Macaca mulatta: one gene and its partners. The protein of the gene in region 1 interacts with the protein of each later gene in a pairwise test. Links are inferred from orthologs where the notes say so. Each region holds a gene or a part of one and is shown in the gene's direction. Other genes may lie near its edges. The genes, in order: VPS52, PPP1R18 and USP2.

The links.
Region 2: the proteins of VPS52 (region 1) and PPP1R18 interact in binary tests that used the Homo sapiens proteins (3 or more experiments, as listed by UniProt). The two-hybrid records come from large-scale screens. The link is inferred for Macaca mulatta from reciprocal best matches to the Homo sapiens genes VPS52 and PPP1R18.
Region 3: the proteins of VPS52 (region 1) and USP2 interact in binary tests that used the Homo sapiens proteins (3 or more experiments, as listed by UniProt). The two-hybrid records come from large-scale screens. The link is inferred for Macaca mulatta from reciprocal best matches to the Homo sapiens genes VPS52 and USP2.

What each region holds. Positions count from the first base shown.
Region 1 is NC_133409.1:149,012,297-149,022,573, forward strand, and holds the start of VPS52 (vacuolar protein sorting-associated protein 52 homolog), read left to right. Parts: upstream 1-5,425; 5' UTR 5,426-5,648; coding exon 5,649-5,738; exon of another isoform or gene 5,739-6,195; intron 6,196-6,727; coding exon 6,728-6,812; intron 6,813-6,959; coding exon 6,960-7,012; intron 7,013-7,191; coding exon 7,192-7,267; intron 7,268-7,448; exon of another isoform or gene 7,449-7,453; coding exon 7,454-7,521; intron 7,522-7,792; exon of another isoform or gene 7,793-7,824; coding exon 7,825-8,000; intron 8,001-8,688; coding exon 8,689-8,839; intron 8,840-9,129; coding exon 9,130-9,230; intron 9,231-9,337; coding exon 9,338-9,470; intron 9,471-9,595; coding exon 9,596-9,653; coding exon of another isoform or gene 9,654-9,661; intron 9,662-10,009; coding exon 10,010-10,143; intron 10,144-10,277. Other genes in the region: RPS18 (small ribosomal subunit protein uS13), read right to left, coding at 874-949, 1,062-1,153, 1,267-1,368, 1,450-1,536, 4,600-4,698, 5,204-5,206. UniProt on the Homo sapiens protein: Acts as a component of the GARP complex that is involved in retrograde transport from early and late endosomes to the trans-Golgi network (TGN).
Region 2 is NC_133409.1:152,357,572-152,367,556, forward strand, and holds the start of PPP1R18 (phostensin), read left to right. Parts: upstream 1-3,196; coding exon 3,197-4,807; intron 4,808-7,450; coding exon of another isoform or gene 7,451-7,480; intron 7,481-9,840; coding exon 9,841-9,985. Other genes in the region: NRM (nurim), read left to right, coding at 251-532.
Region 3 is NC_133419.1:120,066,558-120,076,603, reverse strand, and holds the start of USP2 (ubiquitin carboxyl-terminal hydrolase 2), read left to right. Parts: upstream 1-4,230; 5' UTR 4,231-4,302; exon of another isoform or gene 4,303-4,313; intron 4,314-5,190; exon of another isoform or gene 5,191-5,332; intron 5,333-6,684; exon of another isoform or gene 6,685-6,800; intron 6,801-9,537; exon of another isoform or gene 9,538-9,717; intron 9,718-10,046. UniProt on the Homo sapiens protein: Hydrolase that deubiquitinates polyubiquitinated target proteins such as MDM2, MDM4 and CCND1. Isoform 1 and isoform 4 possess both ubiquitin-specific peptidase and isopeptidase activities.

The sequences.
Region 1 (10,277 bases):
GGTCAGGGCGGGGATTTAACCGACCACACCTGGGATGCGGAGGGCGGAGCGCGCGACCGGGACCAGCGCACCCTGGGGGTCGGGGGAAGGCGGTGCGGACCGCGGTCGAGGCATGCTGCGGGGGTGGCTACCTTGTTGTCGTGGCCTCGCCGCCAGCAAGCTCCGCTCCATGGCTGGCCGACTGCGGCACTCACGGCCCCTCCCCCGCCTCGCCCCGGCGGCCGGCCTGCCACCCGCTTCCGCGCTGCGCGCTCCCATCCCCGCCGGAAGCGGCGTCGGAGCAGCGCGGCAGGGCGCGGAAACCCGGGCGGGTGGAGTGGCACCAAACGGAGCGAGACCGGTCTGTCCAGCCACTCCCCATCCCAACCCACCCACGTATTCCACCAGGGGGACCACACCCTACATAACCAACGTCTGTGTTTTTGCCTTTGTTGCTTTGGTCACAGCCCCGAAGATTTTCTAACTAGATGACCCCTTTTTTAAAAACAAAACAAAAAAAAACCCAGTGACTAAGACCTGCAAACTCACCTGAACTGCAACTGTCTAGGCTCAGCTACCCACTCCACAACCATGCTGCACACCAACCCCAGGGGACTGGTCTCTAAACTGGTCTGGGTCACCCCCTCGAGGCTGGGAATTGTTTTCCCCTCACATTTCTCTTTACAGAGAGAGACATCACTAGCTACACATAGGGAGACTGAGGGGTCTGCAGCATCACCACTGCTAAAACCAATAGCACTGTGTGGGCAACTGAGTAGGGCAGCTCTAAATGGAAAAGGGACCCAGCACTTTAACATTCCCTATTAGAATGGACAGAAAGGACAGGAAGCCATAGGTATATAAACTATTTATTAACAGACAAGGCCTACAGACTTATTTCTTCTTGGACACACCCACGGTGCGGCCACGGCGGCCAGTGGTCTTGGTGTGCTGGCCTCGGACACGAAGGCTGCAGGTAAAAAGAGAAGGGTCATAGGTCATACACAGCACAAAGAAAAGGAAGAGCGAGTAGGAGGAATGCTGTGAGTCGAGGTAGGCAGTGAGATGAGACCTCCACTCACCCCCAGAAGTGGCGCAGCCCTCTATGGGCCCGAATCTTCTTCAGTCGCTCCAGGTCTTCACGGAGCTTGTTGTCCAGACCATTGGCTAGGACCTGGATTGAGAGGCGGCGGCAAGGGATGTTTTATCCCCTGACCACCTACCTATGCCCAATTCTATCAGGACCCTCCACCCTTCCTCTAATCCTGCCCTCATTTCAGTACACACCTGGCTATATTTTCCATCCTTTACATCCTTCTGTCTGTTCAAGAACCAGTCTGGGATCTTGTACTGGCGTGGATTCTGCATAATGGTGATCACACGTTCCACCTGGCAGGCAGGACAAGGTCAGATCTACATGACCCCCTTTCTGAGGCTGACCCCACCCCCAGCCCCCTTCCTTGTCCTCACCTCATCCTCAGTGAGTTCTCCCGCCCTCTTGGTGAGGTCAATGTCTGCTTTCCTCAACACCACATGAGCATATCTTCGGCCCACACCCTGAATGAAGTGAGGGTTTTCGGAATTAGGGTTCAATCTGATTTTTAAATTCCTTTATAGCCTCATTATTCAAAAAGCTCACAAAGGTAGGATCTGCAATAATCTATTTTGCAATTCCCTAGGTCACCCTTTCGTCACCCACCTTTCCAGATATAAACCATTTGATAGAAGGTTAACTTTGGGCCGCACGCAGTGGCTCACGCCTGTAATCCTAGCACTTTGGGAGGCCCAGGTGGGTGGATGACTTTGAGGGCAGGAGTTTGAAACCAGCCTGGCCAACATGGTGAAACCCTACTAAAAATACAAAAAAATTAGCCGAGCATGGTGGTGGGTGCCTGTAATCCCAGCTACTTGGGAGGCTTTGGCAGAATTGCTTGAACCTGGGAGGCGGAGGTCACAGCAAGGCGAGATCACACCACCACACTCAAACCTGGGCGAGAGAGAGAGACCCCGTCTCAAAAAAAAAAAAAAAAAAAAAAAGGTTACTTTGTTCAGGGGCACAACTGAATCATGAACACAGAATTTAGTGTTATAGACAACCCTTTGAAAGCAGGCAGTATCTTTTTTTTTTCTCCTCATTGCTCAGCATATGTATTTGTCACTAAGTGCCTTCTGATTCTTGCATTTAGGAGAACAAGGGGCCTGCCTCTCCAAGCTAATGCAGTAAACCAGAGTCTTATGAGTTACAGGATTTGATTAAGGTATTTGGGCTGTCAGTTCCTCAGAATCTCTAAGGCAAATCACTGTATCCCTATAATCAAAGTATTCCAAGATCACAAACTGAATTTTGTCAGTGCCCAGAACTGACCGCCCAAGTGATTATAAAAAAAGCCTAATGCTTACATTGGTAGCATCATATCAACACCAGCACTAGCACCCATGCTATCTAAATTCATGAACCAAAGTGATTTGGAGAGTGAAGGATGAACTGAATAGTAAGCCCTGCCCCTCATTTTGTCCAACTAGAACCTCAGAATGTGGCCCTATTTGGAAATAAGGTCTTCACAGAAATAATTAGGTAAAATGAAGTTATCTTTGATTAGGGTGGGCTCTAGATCCAATGACAAATCATAAGAGAGACATGAAGAGGACCATGAAATGACAGCAACAGATTGGAGTAATGCAGTTACAAGCCAAGGAACACTAAGGATTACTGACAACCACCAGTAGATAGGAAGAGGCAAGGTTATTAAGTGCCTCCAGCACCGTAAGTAATTTTCTTAGTTTATATGAACTTATTATAGTAGGCCCCAGGAAACTAAAACAAATGGCAGTTCCTCTCTGCGAGAGTGAGAGATCAAGGGTTGGCTTCACAGTGGCTCATGCCTGTAATTCCAGCACTCTGGGAGGCTGAGGGTGGACGATCACTGAGCCCAGGAGTTCCAGACCAGCTTGGACAACACAGCAAGATCCAGATTAGCCAGACGTGGTGGTGGTGCACACTTATAGCCCCAACTACTTGGGAAGTTGAGGCAGAAGGATTGACTTGAGCCCTGGAGGTCAAGGCTGCAGTGAATGGTGATTCCGCCACTCCAGCCTTTCAAAAAATAAATGTGGCTGGGCGCAGTGGCTCAAGCCTGTAACCCCAGCACTTTGGGAGGCTAAGGTGGGTGGATCACCTGAGGTCAGAAGTTTAAGACCAGCCTGACCAACATGGTGAAACCCCCCCCTTCTAAAAATACAAAAATTAGCTGGGCGTGTGCCTGTAATCTCAGCTACTTGGGAGGCTGGAGTTGCAGTGAGATGAGATCACGCCACTGCACTCCAGCCTGGGTGATGGGGCAAGACTCTGTTTCAGAATAAATAAATAAACGTGACCAAGGGTCAAATTATTAGGTTTATTCAGAAGAGAGCAGGGTCTTTCAAATATATATATTTATTTATTTATTAAATGACGAGGTTTCACCGTGTTGGCCAGGCTGGTCTTGAATTCCTGACCTCAGGGGATCCACCCACTTCAGCCTCTGAAAGTGAGCCACTGCACTCAGCCTCAAATTTAATTATATGTTTACAAATGAATATTTACTTCAAAATGAGAGTGGGAAGACAGATAGATAAAATGAGATTTCTAATTTTAGTTAGAATAACTTTCATCCATGAAAGTTATTCTCTATTACACTTCTGAATGGTGCACCTCTACTTAAGCCTCACAGCAAGTATCTAAGTACAGTATTTCACACTGCCTTATTAGTTTCACAGAGCACCCAACAGAAGGAATTTTCCTCTACACATTCCTTAAACCAGCCAACAGTATCCCTACTACTATCCATTAGCTAACGTCGCCTAAGTATCTACCATGCAACAGAAGCCAAGAACTGTAAGACAGGCCTAGCCCTGCACCCATGAAGTGGACACATACTGGTAGGCTATTTCCACAACTAACTACAAATTCTGACTTAAGAAAAAAAAAAAAAAAGAACGTGTGTATCTAGAAAGCCAGGAGTTTATTAGGTTTGTGGAGAGAAATACCCAAGTGAAATAATTATTCTTGCATTCACTGATTCGATTCTTAAAAGCCGAAGAGAGAGATGTACTCCTTCACACTTTAACAGGAGTGTCAACTCTGACATATGAGTAAATGTCCTGCTCATACTTCTTCCACCCTCCATCTACAAGTTTCTTCACACTTTTTATCTGTTGGCATTTTTACTCATCCCTCAAGATGCCCAATAATCCTCCAATTCTGAGGGAATATAAATTTCACAGGAAGGGTTGCTGTTATAATGGCAGGGTGGGTAAAGAAACCGAATCTAGAAGGATCTCACGGTTCAGGAAAATCTTAGCGAATTCGGGTGAGCAACCATACCTCCTTCCCACTCCCCCGGGTGAAATGTTTTGGCTTGACCTTAGACCACTCTCTTGGCTTTAATCACTTATTTTCTGTGGTAAATGTGGTAAGTGCTAAAGGGGTTAGTCTCTCCCTAAACCACTTTCTTTTCTTAATCCAGCAGTCAAGGTGCTCTGGATGAGACTCAAGTCTCCCCAACCTTGCTTCATTTTTGCTCATGTCTTCACAACCCAATTCTCATTTACATTCCCTATTCCTTACCCTACTTTACTTACCTTAATGGCAGTGATGGCAAAGGCTATTTTCCGCCGCCCATCGATATTGGTGTTGAGTACTCGCAAAATATGCTGGAACTTTTCAGGGATCACTAGAGACTGGTTTAAAAAGTACGGGGGAGAAATTAGACACAGTAAACTATCAAACAGTAAGGTTGAAAAGGCAAACGAACTTCATACAAAACGGTTAAGCCTGTCACACAAGTGGCAAAGGCACCCGATCCCCACCCCTAAGGTTTTCACACCACACAGCAAACTCCTCAGTCCTGCAGAGTAGGTACATGAAGCGTTCAAGCTTGGGAAAATGCAACCTTTGGAGAGAGGAGGCAGGTCTCCTGCCCATTCCCAAAAGTGCGTGGCGGAAGCCAGAGTTCCCCATATACGCCCAAGCCTTAGGCAGCTTCCGTGCGCCAGAGCAGTGACCCTTCCTCGGGCCCGCTCTCCGGAACTGGAAATCTTTGGTGTCCCTTTCCAGGGGCGCGATCCAAGGCTTCATACGGAAAGTCTCAGGCCCTCAGGACAGGGCGTTTCCAGAACCCCAACAGCCGGCTTTCCTTGCCCGAGTTGCGATGTCGCTGGATCACGGCACGGATTCCAGGCTTACCATGGCGGCAGCACAAGCGGCGGCGTGTAGGCCTCCTGTGGAAGAGAGAGCGGAAGTGACGCGGTATCATTATATAGCGTTCAGGAGGAAGAGGCGGAGCGATCTAGGAGAAGTGCTTCCGGAAACTGTTTCAGCCTGACCTAGCTGGACTTAAGAGAGTATGGCTCGGGTACCACAACTTCCGGTGCGCCTTTCTTTACAGTTCGTAAAGTTCATAGGTTTAAGAGAAGCGAAGGTTCCGGGCTAGTTTGTGCTTCAGACTTCCACATTTCCGTTTAGAGTTGGGTGAAGTGGTTAGAACTGAAAGGGAACAGCTGGAGTCAAACAATTTAACTCAAATATCTGGGAACGATTTCGCGCTGAGGAAGACCCTTTGGGACTTGTAGCTCCACTCCGGGGAACAGACTCGCCGGCCTGACAGTTGCCGGAAGTGAGGCTGCGGGGAATGGCCGCCGCTGCGACCATGGCGGCTGCCGCCCGGGAACTGGTGTTGCGGGCAGGGACGTCAGACATGGAGGAGGAAGAGGGCCCGCTGGTGAGAGCGCGGAACTGTTTCTCCTCCGTAGTCCCGGTGCTCCTAGCTTCAGAAAGACCTGAGCTGGGTTTAGGCACAAGGGTGGGAACTTGGCTGCTACCTGTGATATTACCTGTTTGACTCCCCGTACCCTTCCCTGTGATCAGACCCGACCCTGAGCGGGACCCTCGTGGCTGAAACTCATATTCTGGGGCACAATTTCAACTTCGCTCCACATTTTGGGGTAGAGTCAAGAAGTAATATAGTGTAAAGGTTAAGAACATGGACTCTGGAGCCAGACTGCCTGGGTTCTAATTCCATCTCTGCCACTTACACGCTGTGTTCCCTTGGGCAAGTTAACCCGCTTTTCTGTGCCATCATTTCTCAGACCTATAAGATGAGGAAGATAGAACCTACTGTATACATCGTTGTTAGGATTAGATGAATGAGTATGTTTAAGATTGCATCTCGCACGCAGGTAAACACTATGTATTTTGACATTTATAGAAAGCCTGGGGTTCCCCAGAGGTGTGATAGAACATCCAAGATGGCAGGAGCCTGAGGGTCCTAAATTTAAGTGCAAGTTCAGCTCCATCCTCTGCAATTCCTAGCTTTCCTCATTAGGTCATCTCCACTGTCTTGTCTTTTACTTTTTTTTTTTTTTTCTTGAGACGGTTCTCCCTGTGTTACCCAGGTTGACCTTGAACTCCTGATCTCCTCAGACAGTCTTCCAGTCTCAGCTTCTAAGTAGTTGGGACTACAAGGAGCCCGCCACCATGCTGGGCTACCTCCACTGTCTCATTGGATCGTCTCACTCCTTGTCGTATTCCTTACCTATCAACACAAAATAGGAGAGTGGGTACAATGTGAGACTTACAGTTTTTCAAAGCGGTACCTGTGGCTTCCAGCAAAAGCACCTCCTTCTCACTTGAAGGACTGGGGATATCCAATTACATTTTTTCTTTCTGTCTTTCACTGTATCCTACTCCCATTAACTTATTCCTTTTCAGGCGGGTGGTGCTGGGCTCCAGGAATCACTGCAACTTGGGGAGTTGGATATCACTTCTGATGAGTTCATCCTGGATGAAGTGGATGGTAAGTGATGGCGTGGAGTGGGTGCAGTACCTGTAATCTGAGAGGCATGGGAGCTGGAAGGAATAAGGTAGGGATTGGTGTGCAGATACTCAATGTGGGGAGAGGGAGCTGTGGAGCTGAACCCTTACGATAAACTTCTATTTCCAGTTCACATTCAGGCAAATCTGGAGGATGAGTTAGTAAAGGAAGCTCTTAAAACGGTGAGGATTTCCCCTATACTAATCTGCCCTTCTATCTACTGTCCCCCAAAAGGAAAAACAACAGTTTTTTGCTTTTGTTATATCAGCCTGGTATCTGATCCTTTAGTCCTTCACTGATTCTGTTACAGTGTCCCTTTACTGAGACTTTTTTCTGACCTGTCATCTTTATGTCCTCCCAGGGTGTAGATCTTCGTCACTATTCAAAACAAGTTGAACTGGAGCTACAGCAGATTGAACAGAAATCCATTCGGGATTGTATCCTCCAGCAGAGGGAAGGGGCGGTGCTATTGATATGGGGATTTTGTGGTGTGTGGTACAGATGTCTCAGCTGGGGTCAACATCTGTGAGGTTTCTGTCACTTCAGAGAGCAATTGGAGAGGTACTACAAATCTGAGGCTCTCCCATTTTCACCATGAGGCCCCTTGACTTTTTGTGGGTCAGATATTCAAGAGAGTGAGAATATAGCATCTCTGCACAACCAGATCACAGCCTGTGATGCTGTCCTGGAGGTTAGTAATCCTGAACTGTGACCCCTAATAGCTGCTCTGAACCAGATCATGGACTCTGGTGCCATTTTTAGGTCATCAGCCTTAAGATGGGGACAAGTTAGGGTCATTTTCAAGATGACTTCAGGAGCCTTTTTTGTTATTGCTGCCATATTTAATGTTATTTCCTGGTAATCTGGGGTATCTCATCCTCTGCCACCCTCATGGACTGATGAATACTGAGGACTTCACAGAGAGGCTTTGGTGGCCCACTTATCCCCTACAAACCCTATAGCACTCCAGCAACATCTTCTACCTTCCCTACAGCGAATGGAGCAGATGTTGGGAGCTTTTCAGAGTGACCTCAGCTCCATCAGCTCTGAGATCCGGACACTGCAGGAACAGTCAGGAGCCATGAACATTCGACTTCGAAATCGCCAGGCAGTTCGGGGGAAACTTGGGGAGCTTGTTGATGGTCTGGTCGTGCCTTCTGCTCTGGTCACGTGAGTTACCGGTTTGAAGGGTCATGATGTCCGTGGCAGGTGAATGGGCTGGGGTGACCTACCTTATTTACCATATGGGTCTACTGGCTCCAGATTAAGTGCTTTTTAGAAATTAGTAGCCAGGTTAACCACCATTTTTTTAGGCATGCATTAGGCATCAAAGATTAAGATTAAGAATGATGTAAGATCGGCTGGGCGCAGTGGCTCAAGCCTGTAATCCCAGCACTTTGGGAGGCCGAGACGGGTGGATCACGAGGTCAGGAGATCGAGACCATCCTGGCTAACACGGTGAAACCCTGTCTCTACTAAAAATACAAAAAAAAAACTTAGCCGGGCGAGGTGGCAGGCGCCTGTAGTCCCAGCTACTCGGGAGGCTGAGGCAGGAGAATGGCGTGAACCCGGGAGGCGGAGCTTGCAGTGAGCTGAGATCCGGCCACTGCACTCCAGCCTGGGTGACAGAGCGAGACTCCGTCTCAAAAAAAAAAAAAAAAAAAAAAAGAATGATGTAAGATCAGGTGTATAGTGGGAAGGTCCAGGAATAGAAAACTTTGTACATGTGTCCTGACTATATGGTACAGTGCAAGGTGGTAGAGATGATAGGAGCTGGAGGTAAGGAGTGTGGTCTGGGTCTGGTTTAGGGATGTCTGGGTTTCCCTTGTAACTTATCCCACCCCTTCCTGCTACCCAGGGCAATTCTGGAGGCTCCAGTGACAGAGCCCAGGTTCTTGGAGCAGCTACAGGAGCTGGATGCCAAGGCAGCTGCAGTCAGAGAGCAGGAAGCTAGAGGCACAGCAGCCTGCGCGGATGTCAGAGGCGTGCTCGATCGGCTCCGGGTCAAGGTGGGAAGTAGGGATGGATACCCTGGAGGCTACTAGAAGCAGCCCTCCCAAGATCTTCACTATGGATTTTCTTGGCAGAGCTCACTGTAGCCTGTCTCCAAGAACTTCACCCTGCCTTTTCTGGGCAGCCCCATTCTTGCCTCTCTGGGTTTCCTTGAAAATCTTGAGAAATACCAAAGAGATATGCACCACTTTTCAATCTATGTTTACCATTTGTTGCTTCCCCCAATTCCTCTCATACAGCAAAAAGGTTGCAGCTTCATGCTCTGTGCTTGGTTCCCCACATCTAGGCAGTGATGAAGATCCGAGAGTTTATCCTCCAGAAGATTTATTCCTTCAGGAAACCAATGACCAACTATCAGATCCCCCAGACGGCCCTGCTGAAGTACAGGTCACAACCCCAAGGAAGTGCATGGGATGGCCTTTGAGCTTTTGAGCAGCCTAATGGCATCTGGTTTCCTGGGAGACAGGTAGACTGACATGTTCCTGACCTCCTAGGTTCTTCTATCAGTTTCTGCTGGGCAATGAACGAGCAACAGCAAAGGAAATCAGGGATGAATACGTGGAGACGCTGAGCAAGATCTACCTGTCTTACTACCGCTCTTACCTGGGGCGGCTCATGAAGGTGCAGGTAAGGTCAGGAGGGAGAGGCATTCCTGGGCACGTGGACTGGGAGGAGGGGACATCCCTGGGCAAGGAATATTTTATTGTGTTGTCGGAAGAGACGGTTATCAGTTCTCTTTTCTGTTTTCTTAGTATGAGGAAGTTGCTGAGAAAGATGATCTAATGGGCGTGGAAGATACAGCGAAGAAAGATATCCTAGTCCTGGGGAACCCTCATGCCAGGTCTTGAGAGTGGGAGGACTTTCGGCTGCAGCCACCAAGGCACTGTTCCTTACCTTTTCCTATGGGACTGAAACCTTTTAGAATGTGATGAAAGCTATAGCCTCCCTCCTAAGAAAGATGCGTCATTTTGACACATAGTTTTGCATATGATTGCAGGAGGTGGGGAGACACCCTGAAGTCCGTTCACAGATGTCATCACGTGGGGCCCTAGTACTGGGAAAGAGGGCTGACTAGGCCATGTCTCGCTGTCTGGGGTCCCTGCAGATAGTGAGTCTTTGGGCCCAGTTATGGTCTCATTGTTTTCCCTGACTCTGACCCATCTTACGATTCTTCTCAAAGCCATCACTCCGCAGCAGGAACACCATTTTCACCCTAGGAACCCGTGGCTCTGTCATCTCCCCCACTGAACTTGAGGCCCCCATCCTGGTGCCTCACACAGCCCAGCGTGGAGAGCAGAGGGTATGAGGAGGAACAAGCTTCAGTCATGAAAGAGACTCTGAGCATGGAGGGAGGGAAGGCCAGACCTCAGGGCAGAGCTTCCCAACCTGCAGGCCCTGTCTCGATCCCCTTAGACTTGGGAGTGGCCTTCTCCA
Region 2 (9,985 bases), about 3.3 Mb from region 1:
TCCCTCCTCCCATGCTCTTCTACTGTCTCCTTGATTCTCCCTCATGACCCTTCCCTCAGAAGGACAGCAACCATGGGCCTCCTGGGCCTGGGGAAGGTACATGGATCATAAGTCAGGATCAGGGATCCAAGTCTCAGAAGAGGGGTTCCTGGGCCTGAGTTCTAGAAGGCTGGTGCCTGGAAGAGGAGGAAAGAAGCGCCCAAGCTGAGAAAAGGGCTTGACTCAATTTCTAAACTCTTCTCCCTCTTAGGTATACTACCATGTGCTGGGGCTGGGCGAGCCTCTGGCCCTGAAGTCTCCCCGGGCTCTCAGACTTTTCTCTCACCTGCGCCACCCAGTGTGTGTGGAGCTGCTGACAGTGCTGTGGGTGGTGCCTACCCTGGGCATGGACCGTCTCCTCCTTGCTCTCCTCCTTACCCTCTACCTGGGCCTGGCTCATGGGCTTGATCAGCAAGACCTCCGCTACCTCCGGGCCCAACTACAAAGAAAACTCCACCTGCTCTCTCGGCCCCAGGATGGGGAGGCAGAGTGAGGAGCTCACTCTGGTTACAAGCGCTGTTCTTCCTCTCCCCCTGAATTCTAAATCCTTAACATCCAGGCCATGGCTGCTTCACGCCAGAGGCCCAAATTCATGGACTGAAGGAGCTACCCCTTCCACTACTTGAGAGTTTATTCTCTGGGTCCAGCTCCACACCCTAAATTCTGAGTTTCAGCCACTGAACTCCAAGGTCCACTTCTCACTAGCAAGGAAGAGCGGGGTATGGAACTCATCTGTCCCCTCACTGTTTAGGGCATGACACTTTCGCCCTCAACAGCCTCCTGAGAAGGAAAGGATCTGCCCTGACCATTCCCCTGGCACTGTTACTTGCCTCTGTGCCTCAGGGGTCCCCTTCTCCACCTCCGGCTTCCACTCCAAGAAGCTGGACCAGGGTCTGCAAGTTCAATGGTCATAGCTGTCCCTCTAGGCCCCACACCTTGCCTCACCACTCCTGGTCCTAGTCTCTGCACCTCCTTAGGCCCTGCCTCTGTGCTTAGACCCCAACCTAGTCAAGGGTATTCTCCTGCTCTTAACTCGATGACTTGGGGCTCCCTGCTCTCCTGAGGAAGATGCTCTGCAGGAAAATAAAAGTCAGCCTGATTTTTCTACATATGGCATGCAGTCTGTCAGTGTCTCCCAAGCTGCAGGGCTGAGTTTGGAAAAGAAAGCCAGAGGGAGCCTGGGAGCGCCGAACTGGAGTCTGGGCAGCCACCACGCCCTCTGGCAACCGCTGGGCTTCGGCCACCCCCCGCCGACCCGGCCCACTTTGCCAGAGCGGCCGGGTCTCCATTCCCATTCCTTCAAATTCCCTTTTTCCTGGCAGCCGACCCGGAGACCCAAGGGAGACAGGTTGAAGCTAGAAAGAGTCCGGCAGCAGCTCTGGTAGGGGGGCGAGCTTCCAAAACCTCTGGTTTCTGAGCGCCTCTCCTGCCGCCCACTCCACAAGGCCCCCCACAGCCTGGCGGTTGCCCTCGACCCGCAAAAACAAAGGCCTGCAGAGGTTGGACCTCCAGACCCAGATGAGAAGGCAAAAGCGTAGGGAGGAGCTGCAGGAGATGGGAAGGGCGGGCCCGGCCCCGAGCAGCTGCCGCTTCCTCCCAAAGTCCCACGAGGGGCCTGAGTCACGGGCCACCGCCCTGGGTCGGCGAGCTGGGGGAAGGGATCTGGACACCTGGGGTGTCCGGGCGGGAAGCTGGTGAGGGCCCCTGGGGACACAGCGGAGGGCCAGGGATTGGGACAAGAACAGGGTAGTCCCGGAGCGAGTCCCACGCGGGGTGGGAGGGAGCTAGGCCCCGCCCCCTCCTCGGCTCCGCCCTGCGCCCCCATCCCTCTCCTCATTGTCCTTAGACAAAGCGGTCGCCGCCCCCGCCCGGCCCCCTGGTCTCTGTCTCCGTCCCACCTCCTTTGCTGCCTCTTTCCCTCCTCCTCTCCTTCCCTCCTCTCCTTCCCTCCTCTCCTTCCCTCCTCCCCTCCCTCTAGTCTCCGGATCTCCCTCGGTCCCTCTCTCCTCCTCTTCCTCTCTCCGGACGCCCGGCTCCTCGGCACCCCCTCCCGCGGGGGTCCTGCGGCGTGTGAGTTGACTGAGGGGCTCAGACTTGGGGAGTGGGTGTCTCCTCGCTCCGGTCCTTGCTCCCATCCCTGGCCCGGATCTTGGCTGTCTCCTCTTTGTGCCGAGATTGTCAGTCTGTGCGTCCAGAGCGGGGTGGAGACTGCCGGCTCTGTCACGGCTCCATGAGAGCGGGGACGGGGCACAGGACTTGCAGGCGCCGGGGAGAAGAGACATGGAGCCGGCCCTCGGCACTCTGGGGTCGCGTGGCGCAGCCGGTGGGGGAGGCAGGCGGTGGTGACGGGACAGGGTGGGGGTGGACGCCAGGGTTCTGGGAACGCGCTGGCAGCCCTGACGCCCGGGTTCCGAAAGTCCCGGGGGTGGGTATTTCCCCCGACCCGCCTCGGGGGCGGAGTGCGGGGCAGAGGGGTGGGGGCTGGGGAGAGGCGTGGCCCGAGCGGTGCTGGAAGGGGAGCCGGGACCTTTGGGGCCCGCGCTGAGACGCGCCGGGTTGCTGCCGCCGCGCTCCTTTCCCCTCTTCCTTGGTTTCCCTTCTCCCCTAGACCTCTTCGCTTTCCGCTCCTCCTTGCCTCCCCAACACCCCCTCAGGTCCCGTTGCCTCCTGGTCCTTCCAGGGATTCCTGGTCCTTCCTTCCCACACTAGTCTCCCTGGGGTATCGCTGAGGCAGTCTGGCCTGCACCCAGATTCCCCTCACCCCAGCCTCATTTCTCTCTTCTCCCTCACACCAACTTTCCTTTTCGCCCTTCTCTCTCTGTCTCACATCCTAGAGACTGTCTTTAATACGCATTAACCCTGACTGCCACATCTGGCTCCTGCCCTCATTGCCTCCAATCTGGACTCTTCCTCTCACATCACCCCCACCACCCCCAACTTGGGCTCACAACTTCTCTTCACTTTTTCCATTTCCCCAGTTCTCTGCCTTCCCTCTTTCCCTCTGTCCTCATCCTTAGCCCCCCTGCCCTGCTTTGTGTCCCACCTCTCCCCCTCCACTTCCTCTCCTCCCACCCTCAGTCTCCCCCCTGGGCCTCTCTGGAGCCTCTCCTTCCTGTTCTCTGCCCCCAGTGCTCCCTACCCTCACCTCAAGGCGACCATGGCCACCATCCCAGACTGGAAGCTACAGCTGCTAGCCAGGCGCCGGCAGGAGGAGGCGTCCGTTCGAGGCCGGGAGAAAGCAGAACGGGAACGCCTGTCCCAGATGCCAGCCTGGAAGCGAGGGCTCCTGGAGCGCCGCCGGGCCAAGCTTGGGCTGTCCCCTGGGGAGCCTAGCCCTGTGCCGGGGACTGCAGAGGCTGGCCCTCCAGACCCAGATGAGTCTTCGGTCCTTCTGGAGGCTATTGGGCCAGTGCACCAGAACCGATTCATCCGGCAGGAGCGGCAGCAGCAGCAGCAGCAGCAACAAAGGAGTGAAGAGCTGCTAGCAGAGAGAAAGCCTGTGCCTCTGGAGGCCCGGGAGCGGAGACCCAGCCCTGGGGAGATGCGGGATCAGAGCCCCAAGGGAAGAGAGTCAAGAGAAGAGAGACTAAGTCCCAGGGAGACCAGAGAGAGGAGACTGGGGATAGGGGGAGCCCAAGAGTCCAGCCTGAGGCCTCTGGAGGCTCGGGACTGGAGGCAAAGCCCAGGAGAGGTGGGAGACAGGAGCTCCCGACTGTCAGAGCCATGGAAATGGAGGCTGAGTCCTGGAGAAACTCCAGAGCGGAGTCTGAGACTAGCAGAGTCTCGAGAGCAAAGCCCCAGGAGAAAAGAGGTGGAAAGTAGACTGAGCCCAGGGGAATCTGCCTACCAGAAGTTGGGCCTGACAGAGGCCCATAAATGGAGACCTGACTCCAGAGAGTCTCAGGAACAGAGTTTGGTACAACTGGAGGCAACAGAGTGGAGGCTGAGGTCAGGAGAAGAAAGACAAGGCTACTCGGAAAAATGTGGCAGAAAAGAAGAGTGGCCAGTTCCAGGGGTGGCTCCGGAAGAGACTACAGAGCTGTCCGAGACCCTGACAAGGGAGGCCCAAGGCAGCAGTTCCACAGGAATGGAGGCAGCAGAGCAGAGGCCTGTGGAAGATGGCGAGAGGGGCATGAAGCCAGCAGAAGGGTGGAAATGGACCCTGAACTCCGGGAAGGCTCGAGAATGGACACCCAGGGACATAGAGGCTCAAACTCAGAAACCAGAACCTTCAGAGTCAGCAGAGAAGCGTCTGGAATCTCCTAGTGTGGAGGCTGGAGAAGGGGAGGCTGAGAAGGAGGAGGCGGGAGCTCAGGGCAGGCCTCTGAGAGCCCTGCAAAACTGCTGCTCTGTGCCCTCCCCCCTCCCACCAGAGGACGCTGGGACTGGAGGCCTGAGACAGCAGGAAGAGGAAGCAGTGGAACTCCAGCCCCCACCACCAGCCCCTCTGTCTCCCCCACCCCCAGCCCCAACTGCCCCCCAACCTCCTGGGGATCCCCTCATGAGCCGCCTGTTCTATGGGGTGAAGGCAGGGCCAGGGGTGGGGGCCCCCCGCCGCAGTGGACACACCTTCACCGTCAACCCCCGGCGGTCTGTGCCCCCTACGACCCCAGCCACCCCAACCTCTCCAGCCACAGCTGATGCTGCAGTCCCAGGAGCTGGGAAGAAGCGGTACCCAACTGCCGAGGAGATCTTGGTTCTGGGGGGCTACCTCCGTCTCAGCCGCAGCTGCCTTGCCAAGGGGTCCCCCGAAAGACACCACAAACAGGTAGGGAAGCAGCCAAGCCAGACTTCTTAGAAGCCCACTTGTCAATTCTCTTTGGACTCTGGTCTTTATTTCTTTTTTATACCCCTGTTTTCTTGTCTTCCTCTCTTCTTTCTTGTTAATTCCTGCCACCACCCTTCCTCGCTCTGCACATACACCCTTCCTTCTCAGAGCCCTCCTGTTCCATTTTGAGCCCAAAAGATCCTGCCCCAGCAAAGGCCGTCTCTGGGTGTGTCTCTTTCAGGGTGTGCCCGGCTGCTCATTCTCCCTTCCCTTGGGCTCTGAATTTTCAGCCCCCTTTTCTTTCCTTCCTTTCCTGAGTGTGACCCGCCCCAGCCCATCCAGTGGGAAAGCCCAAACTGACAAGCTTGAATCAGTGAGGGCAGCGTCACGAGGGTGAAAGCACTTGCAGTTTTTCTGCGGAGAAGGGATAGGGAGCCTGGGGTGGCGGAGGGGGTGCGTTTGTGTTCTAGGGAGAAACTGTAGGGAGAAGTGAATGGAGGAAGGTCCAACTGCCCCATGGGAAAGAGGGCAGAGCTGAATAGGGACATCTTAGGATGGAGGGGAGAGGGGAGATGGAACTGGGCCGGCCAAAGAGCAGAGAGAAGGCTTTTGAACCCTGAGTCTGCCCCATGGGAGAGACACAGAGAGGCCATTTGAAGTGGGTGACCTCGGGGTTGCACACCCCCAGCTGGGCCACTGCTTCAGACAGTGCTCCCTTCTCTCTTGGGACAAGAAAAGCCTTCTCCTCTTCCAAAATACTCCCGCCCCTCACTCCCCCGTCCTTCCTCCCTGGGTTTCCCCTCCCTCCCAAGAACTGGCTTAGGGTTCGGTTTTCCCCTCTCTTCCTGCCATCCTGGACTCTCCCTCCCCTTAGGGTAGTGAAAGAGAGAAGTGAATTTGGAGACAGTTTTGAGAGCAGGCACTGGCCAGGGAGCACAGTGGGAGTTCTGGATAGGGGTCAGGGCTGAGGCCAGCAGAGGGTCAGAGGTTAGACTTGCAACAAAGACCTGCAGGAAAGTGGGGGCAGCTAGGCTAACTCCCCCTGGCCCTGGCCTCATTTCTTCCCTGTGCACGCCCACCTGTTTCCAGCTTGAAAATCTCTGGCGAGAGAGAGGTCCCACCTCAGACATCTCAGACTTAGGAAGTCCCTCCAGTCACACACATCTCCCCAGAGCCTGGGATGCCCAGTCTCATTCTCATCCCCTGTGTTAACATCCTCAGATTTGATTTTTTTGTGTCCTCAGTGTCAGTGGGGAACCACAGGGACTAAAGATATGGGTTAAGCCTGGGGTGGAGGGGGGTTCATTTGATTGCCCAATTCATCTTCACATGAAGCGTAAGTTCACACCCCTGAGCCATGGTGCTTGGGAACCTACCCTCAGCCCTCTGACTGCTACCATCCTGTTCCCCTCAGGGCTGGGCAGATGAAAAAAACAGAAGTCCGGAAATGCTACCCGGGTGAGGTGTTCAGAAAAGTCACTTCCTACTGAGAGAGGCTTGTGCCTCTGGGGAAGAATGAGCAGAGGGAAGCATGAAGCTTTGGGGCCCAAAGCCCAGGGAGCATCCCAGGGGAGCCAGGAAGCAAGTGCAGGGCAGGACCCATGCTGGTGACCATACCTAGGCCAGAGAGCAGGGGAGCCGGAAGCAGATCGCCCAAACAGGAAGCCTGGGGTGGGGGCCGGAAGGCTGGTGGGGCTGAGTGGGGAACCCTGGGCTCTGGGCCTGCCAGAGCTGTGCTCAGGATGTGGTGAGAGAATAAGGAAGCAGCCACTGCTTGGGTGGGGGTGGGGAAGAGGCAGCACAGAGTTCTTCTGACCCAGATGCCTCACCCTCCACCCTCTCCCCACTCTCAGCACCCTGCTCTTCAGGGACTGGGTGCCTTGTCCCAGCTCTGCTGCAACACACTGGCTCAGGAATAGGAGATAGGAGGACCCTGCCACCAACCCCCGCTTCACCTTCCCTAAATAACTCGTTTGCAGGCTAAGTCCATCAAACTTATCCCTGCCATCAGGAGAGAAATCCCAGCCCTGCCACTGGAGCCCAGGGGATGGCTGTGGCTGGTGCCCTACCCCAGAGGCCTCCTGGGCTGAGAGACCAGCCCTATTGTGACCTTATATAGCTGATGGGAGAGGAGCAAGTGAGTCACCCTCTCTCTACCCGCCCCCCCACTCCCATGCAGGCTGTGCATTCCTGAGAAGTCCAGTCAGAAGCTGGTGGGGGGTGAGGAGAGAGGCAGGGTAGGGGGGAGATACAAACATAGACCGAGAGCAAATAAAATAAGTCCTTTTTCAGAATAGATAATAAAGTACAGAGGTTATTATTCCAAAAGAGGATATGAGAAGAAAACAAAAATGGGTTCCCAGAAATGTGGGTAAATCTGTCAGTAACAGAAACTAAGTGGTCGCTTCTGAGAACTTGGGATATAAGCAGTCTGGCTGCTATAACTAGATTGTACCAGCAGTTCCACAGACATGAACTGGGGGGTCAAATATGTATAGGCTGGACCACCCCCAGATTGTTTCCCCAGCATTGGTCCTCTGATGGCACCTCATCTGAGGTTTGAACAAACTCTAAACTCTTGCACTGTAGCAACTTTCAAGCTCCTTTTTTCTTTTCTTTTTTTTTTTTTTTTTTCTGAGACAGTCTTGCTGTCTCCCAGCCTGGAGTTCAATGGTGAGATTTCGGCCCACTACAACCTCCACCTTCTGGCTTCAAGTGATTCTCCATCCTCAGCCTCCTGAACATCTGGAACTACAGGCGCACACCACCAAGCCCAGCTAATTTTAGTATTTTTAGTAGAGACGGGGTTTCACCATGTTGGCCAGGCTGGTCTCAAACTCCTGACCTCAAGTAATCCCCCTGTCTTGGCCTCCCAAAGTGCTGGGATTACAGGTGTGAGCCACTGCGCCCGGCCCCAAGCTCCTTTCAACAGCAGACACGAGTATAATAAATTAGTAAATTATCTAGGAAGTTAGAAGGTGGTAAGTGACTATGAAAAAAAAAATAGAACAGTGGAACTTAGAGGGTCAGGAAGCAGGGGGAGTGAATATGGAGACTTCAAAATGGGGTGATCAGGAGGGTCAGAGCCATGGGGATATTTCAGGGGAGTGTTCTAGGCAGAAGGAATAGCTAGTACTTTTCTGGTCCTGAGGTGGGAGTGCGTGGAGGGACCAACGCCAGTGTGGCTGGAGTGAAGGAAGAGGCCAGAGAGGCAAGGGGAGGGTGGCACATTGGGAGCACCCTGTAGGCTTTGGTCAGGCTCTGGGCACCTTTGGGGCAATCAAGTAGACTTTTTTTTTTGAGGTGGAGTCTCACTCTGTTGCCCAAGCTGTAGTGCACTGGCGTGATCTCGGCTCACTGCAACCTCCGCCTCCCGGGTTCAAGTGATTCTCCTGCCTTGTCCTCCCGAGTAGCTGGGACTACAGGCGTACGCCACCATGCCCAGCTAATTTTTTTGTATTTTTAGTAGAGACGGGTTTCACCATGTTGACCAGGATGGTCTCAATCTCTTGACCTTGTGATCCGCCCGCCTCGGCCTCCCAAAATGCTGGGATTATAGGCATGAACCACCGCGCCCAGCCTCGAGTAGACTTTTTGCTCCAAGTGAGATGGGGAGACAATGTGGGGTTTGGAGCCAACAAGGAGTAACATACACAGTTCCCGAGTTCCATTTTCCCATGGGGACCCAGGTGTCATATCTGATTTTTTTTTTTTCTTTTTTAGAGACAGTGTCACTCTATTGCACAGGCTTGTCTCCAACTCCTGGGCTCGAGAAATAATCCTGCCTCAGCCTCCCAAAGTGCTGGGATTACAGGCGTGAGCCACCGTGCCCGACTGGTGTCATATCTGATGCAGCTCTTAGCAACCACCTGCCCAGCCACCCTTCTGGCTTCTCCCTTTTCATACCTCAGTCCATTTGGGGACTCAGGGATGTTCGACTGGCCCCAAGTCCTCCCAAACAGATGCCAGGGAAGGCCTGAGTAGATCATTTGGACCTTTCCAAGTAGTCCACATGGAATCCTCCTGCTGTCTGCCTAATCCCTTTGGCTCCTAGACTTAATCCCACCCTGCCCCTTCCCCCTGAGCTTCTTAAGAGGGCAAAGGGGAAGGGTAGAAAGGCAGTGAGAACAGCTGGGACTCACCTGCTTTTGGCACAGTGTGATTTTTCTGTGCCCTGTCTGGTATTTTGTCTCTGCGCCTGTCCCTTTGAGCACACTGTGGGCCCCCACCCCAGGTTTGTGTGGACTTTCCTTTCTGCCCTTGTCATCTCCCCCAACCTTTCAAGGTGTCAGCGGCTAATCTTTCCCCTGTGTGTTGTGGGAGTCTCTTGGTTCCTCTAGGCCTTTCTATTCATCTCCCATCTCTTCCCAGGCCCTAGACCCCCTTTGCTATGGATAGGAGAGGAATGAGGGGAGTGGGAGGGAACAGGTGCCCAGGCTCCTGGGTTTCGCATAGGACAGCAAGGGGCTGTGGGTATGAAAACCATGGTTTTGGTTGAGACTGGCTCCCCAGCCAGTTCTTTCCCCACTGGCCAGTCTGCTGGGCTCCTCTGGGAAGTTTACTCTTTCCCCACTGGCCAGTCTGCTGGGCTCCTCTGGGAAGTTTACTCTATTGCCTCCAAGGTGCCCAAAGACTCGGTTCTGATCACAAGACTAATCGCCACGTATTTTAATTTCTTTTTACCCCTCTGCCTCCCACACTCGAAAGAGCAGGGACCTTGGTCTTATGTTATTCACTTCTGCCTCCCAAGCCCCTGCCAACCTACAGGGCAAAGTCTGATGTTTTGAAATTATATGATCGAAGAAGGAAACTCTGGGATTGGAAAGCCAGTGTGTAAAGGAAAACTGGATCCCAGAGTGGATGGGAGAGAGTGAGGGGGGGCGCCTAAGTCCAACCCCCACCCCCACCTTTCCCCCGCCCCACCTGCTCCCTTGCAGACTCCCCCCCCCGCCCCCCCGCTTTCTCCCCCTCAACCCCCACGGGCCTCACCCCTGCTGACCTTGCCTCCTGCCCCCTTTTTCTCCCTCCTTCAGCTTAAGATCTCCTTCAGCGAGACAGCCCTGGAGACCACGTACCAATACCCCTCCGAGAGTTCGGTACTGGAGGAGCTGGGCCCGGAGCCTGAGGTCCCCAGTGCCCCCAACCCCCCAGCAGCCCAACCCGACGACGAAGAGGATG
Region 3 (10,046 bases), on another chromosome or scaffold:
GTTTGAGAATCACTGCTCTCAGTGACTTTTTTAGAACTCCTCCTCCAGGTTCAAACTTCTAAGCCTTTCCCTTCATCCTCACAGTCAGCTGACCCTGCTTCCTAATTCACAAAGAGGAAAAAAAAAAAAAAGGCCTCGAAGAGATAATATCCACCAGCTTCTCCCACATCAATCCGCCTTCCCACATCTATGCCCAAATATCATGCCTTCTCTCTTTTTACTTTACCCAAATATCATGCCTTCTCTCTTTTTACTTTGCATGAGCCATCAGTCCTCTAACCAAAGCCAGCCCCTCTGCTTCTGGACTCTGTCCAATCCCTTCTCCCCTCATCAGGGACATTTCTCCAGACGTTCTCCTCACTCCCCACTGCATTGTCAATTTTCACTCTCTACTGGCTCCTCCCCATCAGCATATAACATATAACTATTTTTTCCCACTTAAGAAGTTTTCTTGACCTCACTTCTCCTTTTAGCTCCCAGCCAATTTCTCTCCTTCCTTTACAACACAACTCCTCCAAAGAGTTGCCTCCAAAGAGTTGTTTCCATCCCTCTCCTCCCATTCTTTCTTAAACTTATCAGCGATCAGACTTTTACCCCCACCACTCCACCAAAACTGTTCTTGTCAAAATCACCAATGACCTTCAATCAATTATCTTTGCTCTATATACTTTCCAGTGGGGGGGCAAGGGAGGGACAAGACATAAAACAAAAAAAAAAATCAATCAATCATTCAATTCTCAAACTCATCTTACTTACTTTATGGGCCACATTTAACACAATTGACCTTTCCCTCCTCCTCAGTAAGTTTCCTTCTCTTGGCCTTCAGCATACCACCATCTCTTGGGGTTTTTTTCCTCACTACACTGACCTATGCCTCCGTCTCTCTGATGGTTCCAACTGATCTCAAGCTCATATTGGAGAGCTCCAGAATTTAGTCCTTGCACGTCTTTTCTATCTACACTTGCTCCCTTGGTAATTCTTCTCATCTCCTGGCTTTAAATAACTTCCATATGCTGATGACTCTCAATCTTTTATCGCCAGCCCAGACCACACCAAACTTGCACATGAGCTGCTTTCTTGACATCTCCATTTGGATGCCTAGGAGACATACGTTTTTTGTTTTTTGTTTTTTTGAGGCTGTGTCTCGCTCTGTCACCCAGGCTGGAGTATAGTGGCACCATCTCGGCTCACCGAAACCGCTGCCTCCCAGGTTCCAGAGATTCTCTTACCACAGCCTTCCCCTTCTCAGTTAAAGTTCAGGTGAAAAATTCCTCCCTCCTCCCCACACTGCCTAATCCATCAGAAAATCCTGTTAGTCCACATTCAAAATACTTCTAAAATCCACCACTTTGAATCACCTCTTCTGCTACCACACTAACCAGAGGCTCACAATGACCTCCTAAATGGTCTCCTGCTTCTGCTCTCTTCAGCAATGGTCTCACGCTTCTGCTGTCTTCAGATCTGTTCTCTACACAGTAGCGAAAGGTAGGAACCCTGTCCCTCCTCTGCTCAAAACAAGCTTGTCCAACCCGCAGTCTGCGGGCCATATGTGGCCCAACACAAATTCATAAACTTTCTTAAAACATTATGAGGTTTTGCCCGGCCCAGTGGCTCACGCCTGTAATCCTAGCACTTTGGGAGGCCGAGGTGGGTGGACCATGAGGTTAGGAGATCGAGACCATCCTGGCTAACACAGTAAAACCCCGTCTCTACTAAAAATACAAAAAATTAGCTGGGTGTGGTGGCAGACGCCTATAGTCCCAGCTACCTGGGAGGCTGAGGCAGGAGAATGGCGTGAACCCGGGAGGCAGAACTTGCAGTGGACCAAGATTGGGGCACTGTACTCCAGCCTGGGCGACAGAGCAAGACTCTGTCTCTTAAAAAAAAAGAAAAAAACTATGAGGTTTTTTAGTGGTTTTTTTTTTTTTTTTTTTTTTTTTGAGACGGAGTCTCGCTCTGTCGCCCGGGCTGGAGTGCAGTGGCACGATCTCGGCTCACTGCAAGCTCCGCCTCCCGGGTTCACGCCATTCTCCTGCCTCAGCCTTCCGAGTAGCTGGGACTACAGGCGCCCGCCGCCTCGCCCGGCTAATTTTTTGCATTTTTAGTAGAGACGGGGTTTCACCGTGTTAGCCAGGATGGTCTCAATCTCCTGACCTCGTGATCCGCCCGCCTCGGCCTCCCAAAGTGCTGGGATTACAGGCGTGAGCCACCGCGCCCGGCCTTTAGTGATTTTTTTAAAGCTCATCAGCTATCTTTAATGTTAAGTGTATTTTATATGTGGCCCAAGACAATAATTCTTCTTCCACCATAACCCAGGGAAGCCAAAAGATTGGACACCCCTATTTCAAAACCTTTCAATAGCTCCATAAAAGCCAAAGTCCTCAGAAAGACCTTGGGGACATGCAGGTTTGGTCCTTCCCTTACCTCTCTGATCACATCTCCCACTCTTTCCCTATCTTTCTGTCTCTTCACTCCAGCCACATTGACTTTGTTCTTCCTCGAAAGTGGCAGGTTGCTCCCACCTCAGGACCTTTGTTTTTACTCTTCCCTCTGCCTAGAAGATTCTTTCCCTACATTTACATGTGGTTCACGCCTAGCCTCCCTCAGGTCACTTGAATGTTACCTTCTCTGAACACACTTCCTCCTTGCTTGATGTGCCCCCATAGCTCTTAGCACCATCTAACATATTACATATTCTACTTATTTATTGTCCTGCTTCTACTAGAATGTAAGCTCCCTGAGGGCAGGGATTGTGCCTGTTTTGTTCCCTGCTATATCTCCAGTTTCTAGACAAGTGACTGGCATGTCCAATATCCATCTGTAAAATGAAGTGATGGAATGAGGGCCCTAAGGAAATATAACATGGTGAAACCCCATCTCTACTAAATACAAAAAATTAGCTGGGGCCAGGCCCACTGGCTCACGCCTGTAATCTTAGCACTTTGGGGGTCTGAGGCTGGTGGATCACCTGAGGTCAGGAGTTCGAGACCAGCCTGACCAACACGGTGAAACCCTGTCTCTACTAAAAATACAAAAATTAGCCAGGCATGGTGGTGGGTGCCTGTAATCCCAGCTACTCGGGAGGCTGAGGCAGGAGAACTGCTTGAACCCAGGAGGAGGAGGTTGCAGTGAGCTGAAATTACGCCATTGCACTCCAGCCTGGGCAACAAGAGCGACATTCCGTCTCAAAAAAAAAAAAAAAAAAGAGTTGAAATCGAGAAGGGAATCGTCTTGGACAAGAACAGGGGTGCCTCTTTCACTGCTCCTGGTAAGAATGGATTCAGACATGTTTGCAGGTAGAAATTTAAGTATTCTCCTCCTGATTGCGTCTGATTTCTCTGGGAAATAGAAGAGAAGGAAGGACTTGAGGAGAGTAGCAATGGAGAGAGAGGTCTATGGTGAAGATGGGAGGCGTTAAGGGCACCTGCAAGGGTTGATGGAGCAGCTGAAGTTGAAAACCTGGATTTGCCTTGGTACCCAGCTACCTGGTTGTGCAGTTTTCCTCATCAACATCCGGGGAGTGGGGAGAAGGTTACACAAAAGTAACGGGATCAGCAAAAATTCAAGTGTTGTCTCGGCTTTTTCTTGAAAAGACCAAAGAGAATTCCTTCCATTGACTCAGTGCCTCCATTTACCCACTCGGGCACTCATCACTAATCACTGGTCCCATGGAAGTAAAATGAGCGGCGAGTGTCTTTGAGAGTAAAGAAAAAGAGAAGAGGCTGAGGAACAGGACCTCCCCCAGTCCGGTGAGAAGGGGAGTGGGGGATGTTTAGCCTTCCCTAAAAACTGGAAGTTGATATGCCCCGGGGCTCAAGTTCCGAGCCTTCTCCCATGACCCCTCTTCTTTCCCAATACCTTCCAGCTGCCCCGTCGTGTGACATTCCAGTCCACCTCTGTTCCTGCTCCACCCACTCCAAACTCGCGTGCTTTTCCTCCACGTGGTTCTCTGTGTATATCGGTTGCCTGGGAGACCCCAGCCGGGCCGGGCTCTAATGACGCCACAATAGGAACAAGCCAATAGCCGTGACGCGACTCAGTGACGCGAGACGCGGGGGTGTGGCTCTGCCGGCCCAGGCGCGATGAGGCGGCTGCCCGCTGGGTGGCGCCGATTTCCCGGGGAGGTCCCTTCTGGGACCCCGGCGGAGGTGGGAGAGAGGCAGGCAGGAGCCGAGGCCGGGGAGCTCTCTGCGTCAGCTGCGGACTGCGCCGCGCCAGCGCCAGCGCCAGCGCCAGCCGGGACTCACCCGCAGCTCCATGCTTGTGCCCGGTTCGACTCGTCCATCCTCCAAGAAGAGGCAGGTACGTGCCACCTGTCGGGAATCGGGGAGGGGGGATTCGGGGATCAGTGCCGGTTTGGGGCTCAGAAAGTAAGGTGTTCACGACAGCCTGGGCAGAGTGAACACTAGAAATATAGGGAGAGAGCCGGCTGTGCAGGGACGCTCCAGCTGTGTCTGCCAGTTGTGTGAGGGCTGCCTGCTGACAGCCCAGGGTGCCAGGAAAAGCCATCTGTGTGTTGATCAGTGTATTCTAAGGAAATGCTGCTTCGGCGGGTCCTCCTCGCTGTGCCCTGGTATATCGGTGGTATGTGGCCCAAGAGTGACACTGACACCCCTCCCCATGTGTGCGTGCAGCTCACTCGCTGCTCTTAAAGCTGCCCGGGTTGTATCTGGTCAGTTTGCTAAAGGGGGTTGGGGGCATGGGGTGTGCAACAATTAAGCGGAAAGGGAGATTTTCCACCAATCCCTAACCAGAAAAAGGCAGCTTTGAAATTCTCACCAATCCCAAACCAGAAGCATGCACGCGGTGTTCCGAAGAGAGCAACTTCTCAACAGTCAAGGGAAGCCCTAGCCAACCCATTCCAGCCCTTCCCTGAAGAGTGAACATCCTACCTCCTGACCTGGCTGCCTTTAGAATGGGACTGAGCTGGAGGTAGTGGTAGGGGCTGCTCACCTCCCCCGGAATGGGCATGAGAACATCCCCCAGATGGACCCCGGTAAAGCAGAGGAAAGGAGAACTGACTGGACTAAGGTCGAGGCAGGCCCCTTCCTTTGATGCTGTAGATGCAAGTCAGACTAGAGTCAGAATGAGGACTGGAATGAGGGCGTCCTCTGAAGTGCATCATCAGGACCTGGGCTGAGTCAGTAGCCTGTGCTAAGACAGGGTGGAGGCACCAAGCTGGGTACTCCCAGTCCTGGGGGAGAGCCATCGAGAAAACGTCCTGGGAGCAGACAAGTGCACCAAGGCCAGAGAGGCTAAGAACCCTGTTCCTTCCTCTTGTGACCCTGCCCAGCCCGGCTCTGTGGCCCTGGAATCCTGAGCCCTCCCACAGGTAGAGTGGAACCACCCCAGAGGGGCCAAGCATTCTCCTGGTGGTCTGGGGGAAGCTGTGCTTGCCGTATTTTTCTAGGCAAAGGGGGAAGGAGCCCAAATGGGCTTGGCCTTTCTCTGCTTGGTGGACTGGACATCTAGGAAGATGGCAAGCCTTGTTTGCCCTTCCCGGTTATGGGACATGGTCAGTTCAAAAAACCTTGGGACTGTTCTCTGGCATTAGAAAGGCACACGTCTGGTCAGGAGCAGTGGCTCATGCCTGTAATCCCAGTACTTTGGGAGGCCGAGGCGGGCGGATCACGCGGTCAGGAGATCGAGACCATCCTGGCTAACATGGTGAAACCCCGTCTCTACTAAAAATACAAAAAAATTAGCTGGGCATGGTAGCAGGCACTTGTAGTCCCAGCTACTCGGGAGGCTGAGGCAGGAGAATGGCGTGAACCCAGGAAGCAGAGCTTGCAGTGAGGCGAGATCATGCCACTACACTGCAGCCTGGGAGACAGAGGGAGACTCTGTCTCAAAAAAAAAAAAAGAAAGAAAGAAAAGAAAAGAAAGAAAGACAGAAAAGAACCCTTCCCCAGGAGTAACCTTCCTTTTCTCCCTAGGAAAGTTCTCCTGGTAAGGTGCCATTACTAATAATACCACTAATTATAATAAGTGGAAGTATTCAATATAATCATCATGTTTACTGAACTCTTACTATGGGCCAGGAAATTTACAAATATTAATTTATTTAATCCTCACAACTGAGATAGACCATTATTATTATTATTCCTGTTTTGTAGATTAAATAGCTAAGATTCAGAGAACTTAAGTGACTTATCCACTATTTTGGAGCCAATAAGGGAAAGAACTAGCCTCCAAGCCCAGGCCGAGAAGTCCATTAGAAAAGAACGTTGGACTGAAACCTGAGTACTAGTCCCCTTTCTGCTTCTGGCTATCTGTATATGCCCTTGAGCAAGCTGCTTTCTTTCTTTAGGTTTACTCTATCTCAAAATTAAGAGTGGGGCTAACAGTATGGCTTCTTCCTGTTCTCTAATCCTGTGACTGACTGCTCTGGAAAATCCACTTTCTCCGTCTTTTTGTCTCAAGTTCCACCCCCACCCCTCCGTGCTCTTTTCAGTCCTCTTTCCTCTTGAATCTCCCCATTGTTCCCCTTCAAAATGCCCCCCTTCCAAGAGTCCTTACAGACCTCCTTGGCTGGCACTGGCCTGAAAGGGCAGCCCCTCAAGGGTGGGTATGCCACTGCCCCTTTAATTCTCCCGGGGCTTGGAATGCAAGTGAGTTGCGCTCACCATCTCTGCAAGTGTGCGAGGTCAGATAAGATACTATATATATCGGAGTCAGTAACCTGAGCTCCGGATTACCCAGCCCGGAGTCAGGCTCCAGCTTCTGGACTTTCCACTGCATTCCCTGCCCTGCTGTGGAAGAAGAAGCCCCCAGCTCCCATCCAGTGCCCCTGGACACAGGTCAGTAGCTGCCCCTTTGGTATCTGAGCTTCTCTGGGACTCTACCTAGAGGAAAGACATCAGTGTATCTAGGATAGCATGTAAGAGGCCACTCCACTGGGCCTGGTGGGTGTCAGGGGCAAGACCAAAGGCTCCTCCGGAGGCTGAGAACAGAGGAAAGATAAGGCCCTAGAGGAGAGGGAAGGAGACCAGAGTTCTCCCCTGGGGAAGGGACACCAGGAGAGTACCTGGGCAGAGGTGGTTGGAAAAGAGAATTTAAGGATCCCAATACTGCCTGGAGGCCCATTTCTTTGCTTTGTCTTGGAAGCATAGAGATGCCCACCCCACTCACAACCCCAAATCAAGGAGCACCCTATAGAAACTGCCCTGGGCCCACCCACTTCTTCTCCACCAGTCAGGATTCTTGCCTTAATCTCCAATCTCTTTATCTTACCTCCTCCCCTCCCCCAGCTCTTGGGTAACTACTGGGAGCAGGAGAAAGAGAAATGGACCCAAATTCCCTTGGATGACCCCTTGCCAGGGCAGGCAAGAGGATTAAGCTGGTGGATCAGTGGGTGCTAGCCCCTGATAGACAGAGCCTAGTGACAGGCTGGAGAGGAGGGGGCCAGCTGAGGCCCTGGGGCCTGAGAGGAGTAGGCTGAGTTCAAGGACTGTTTGAGCATAAATATGCTCCTGCCCCCACAATCCCCTACTCTACCCACGTCCTCTACACCTGCCAGGATTCCCTCATCCCATCCTCTAGGACCAGACACTTGTGCCCAGATAGTGCAGCAGGTGACCGGAGCAGCTGGGAGGGCGGGTCAAAGTGCAGATGGAAGGAGACAGGGCCCCTCTCACCCGCCTTGTCCTTCAAGGTCAGCACATTCTGATGCTGTTAGCAAGTGGCTTCAGGAGGCTCTGAGGTCACCACTGTGGAGACTCCCAGCCACCTGGCGGGACTGGCTGGGACTCCCCACTCACCTTTTCTGGGCACCTGAGTAGGAGGGAAGACTTAACCCTGTTTAGGCATGCTTCTGAAACTCAGCTAGAGGTTCTCTATCCAGGCCCCAGTAGCAAAGCAGGCTTTCACCCTCAGAAAGCCAAGCAGATCTGGGCAGATGGGTGATGTGGGGCATCACCCATCCCCTGCCCCCAGGGCCAGGAGTGCCTGGAATTCCTGGGGAGCAAGTTCCTCCCCTGGCTTGGCAGGTTAGGGAGCCCTTCACATGAGCAACAGGAAGTGACAGTGGCTGAAGCAAAGGGGTTGGCTGCCCCAGGGGGACGGGGTTCATTTTAACCCCTGACTCACCCAGCATGGGTACCTTGAGGAGTGGGCCAAGCTGCAGCCAGGGTAGGAGGCTAGGGACTTGCTCATAACCAGGCCAGGGACCCAAGGCTCTGAGCTGGGGTAGATGCTGCTGCCAGGGAACACACAGGGGCTTGGCACAGTGGGTGAAATGGAGGCTTCCTGGACCATCTCGCGGCCGATCAGCATTGTTCTAGGGCTCGAGTTGCACCTGGCTTCACTTTCATTCGCCTGCAGTGGAAAATCCAGAGGGCTGCTCCTGCCGGAGTCTGTACACCCCATGTTGTACCTACAGGAGAGGGAAGGAGACCAGGGCTCTCCCGTGGGGAGGGGACGCCAGGAGAGTACTTGTGCAGAGGTGGTTGGAAAAGAGAATTTAAGGATCCAGGACTGCCTGGAGGCCCATTTCTTTGCCTTGTCTTGGAAGTGTAGAGATGCCGGAGGCCGGACACCTGGATCCTGTGGCGGTCCTTCCCTCAAACCCCACCTACAGGTCCCAGTCCCGACTCGTCCCATGGAGAGCCAGGGAAGAGTGAAGCAGGGGTCTGGGCTTCAGGCCAGCTATAGCGGACAGAGCATAGAGCACAGGTCCAGCCCAGCTCTGCCACTGCTCCCAGTGTGACTTTGGGAAATCCACATCACTCCCAGCATCGCCAATTTCCTCATCTGCAAATGGATATTATAACAGCACCTACCGCTTAAAGGAGTCGGGAGGGTTCAGTGAGTTAATACACTGTGTCCCAAGCCTTAGTGCAGTTTTAAGCTTTAATAACTTCAGAAATACAAATGCTAAAAACTTCATTTGAAAGTTTCCATATTTAAATGTCTTATATATTTATTTTCTAATTGTGAATGTTTTTTTAATTTTAATTTAAATAATTTAATCTGTCCAAAGAGGTGTGTAAGTTGGAGACATTTATGTCTGAAAGAACTCCAGCTTAAACCCACACTAAGACTTTTTGGGGTGCTCTGTGTATGAAGCACACCTAGAAGAATGTGTTACATGGCGAGGGCCGATGAGAGCTGATGTGAGGCCGCAGAGAAGATGGACTCAGAAGCTGCATGTGAAGTACTCAGCATGCCTGGGGCCTGGTTCAGAGGTGACCAGCACCAGCCGGCTGGGGTGACAGCTGCTTGGCTCACATGTCCTGACAGGAAGCCCAGGCCTCTGTGCAGAGGAGTGCTGCTGCACCTCCCAGGAGAGGGAAACTGTGCAAAATGACAGGAATCTCTGACAGAGAAGGAAGGGTCCAGACACCTCAGTGAAGATGGCCAGGAAGAGGAGCTGGGCAGGGGACTGCCCCTGTTGTCCAAGGTGGCGGACACCTGGGGAGGCGCTGCCTGGAGCTGCGTGCCTGTACTTGCCAGCTCTGGGTAAACAGTGAAAGAAGCTGGGCAGCAGGGGCCCCGCACTGGGCAGGGAGGGGTATGGGGGATCCCAGCCAATCGGCTTGCCTCCCACTGTCCCATGAAAGGGCCATTCAGTTCAGGCTGTTCCTGTGGCAACAGGGAGACTCGCAGCCATGTGAGTGCCCGTCCTGTCCCTGTCTTGCGCGGCGAGACTCCGGCCAGGGCCCCAGCCCGCTCTCCTGCCCATAGTGCATTCTGTGGCCTCCAGGGACAGCTGTGCAGGTAATGCCAAGGGGCACCAACCCAGGCTGTGCCTTCACCTGGAAGGTGCTAGGACCTTTGAGAGTGAAACTGGGGGTTGTGGGAGGGGAGAGACATGCGGAAGGCCCCCACCCCAATAGGAACCCTCTCCCCAGACGTGGGAACTGTAGCTAGATGTCAGAGCCGAGAAGCAGCTTCCATGGAGTATTAGTGATGGCATGACTCTTAGGGCTGCTGGGAGGAGGGGGAGGGGTCTGGCAATCACCTGCCAGATGGAAAGGAGAGTGGGGATTTGGGAGCCTTCCTGGGAATCTGTGGGCCAGAGGTGTGGCCCCAACTCCAGCTCTAAA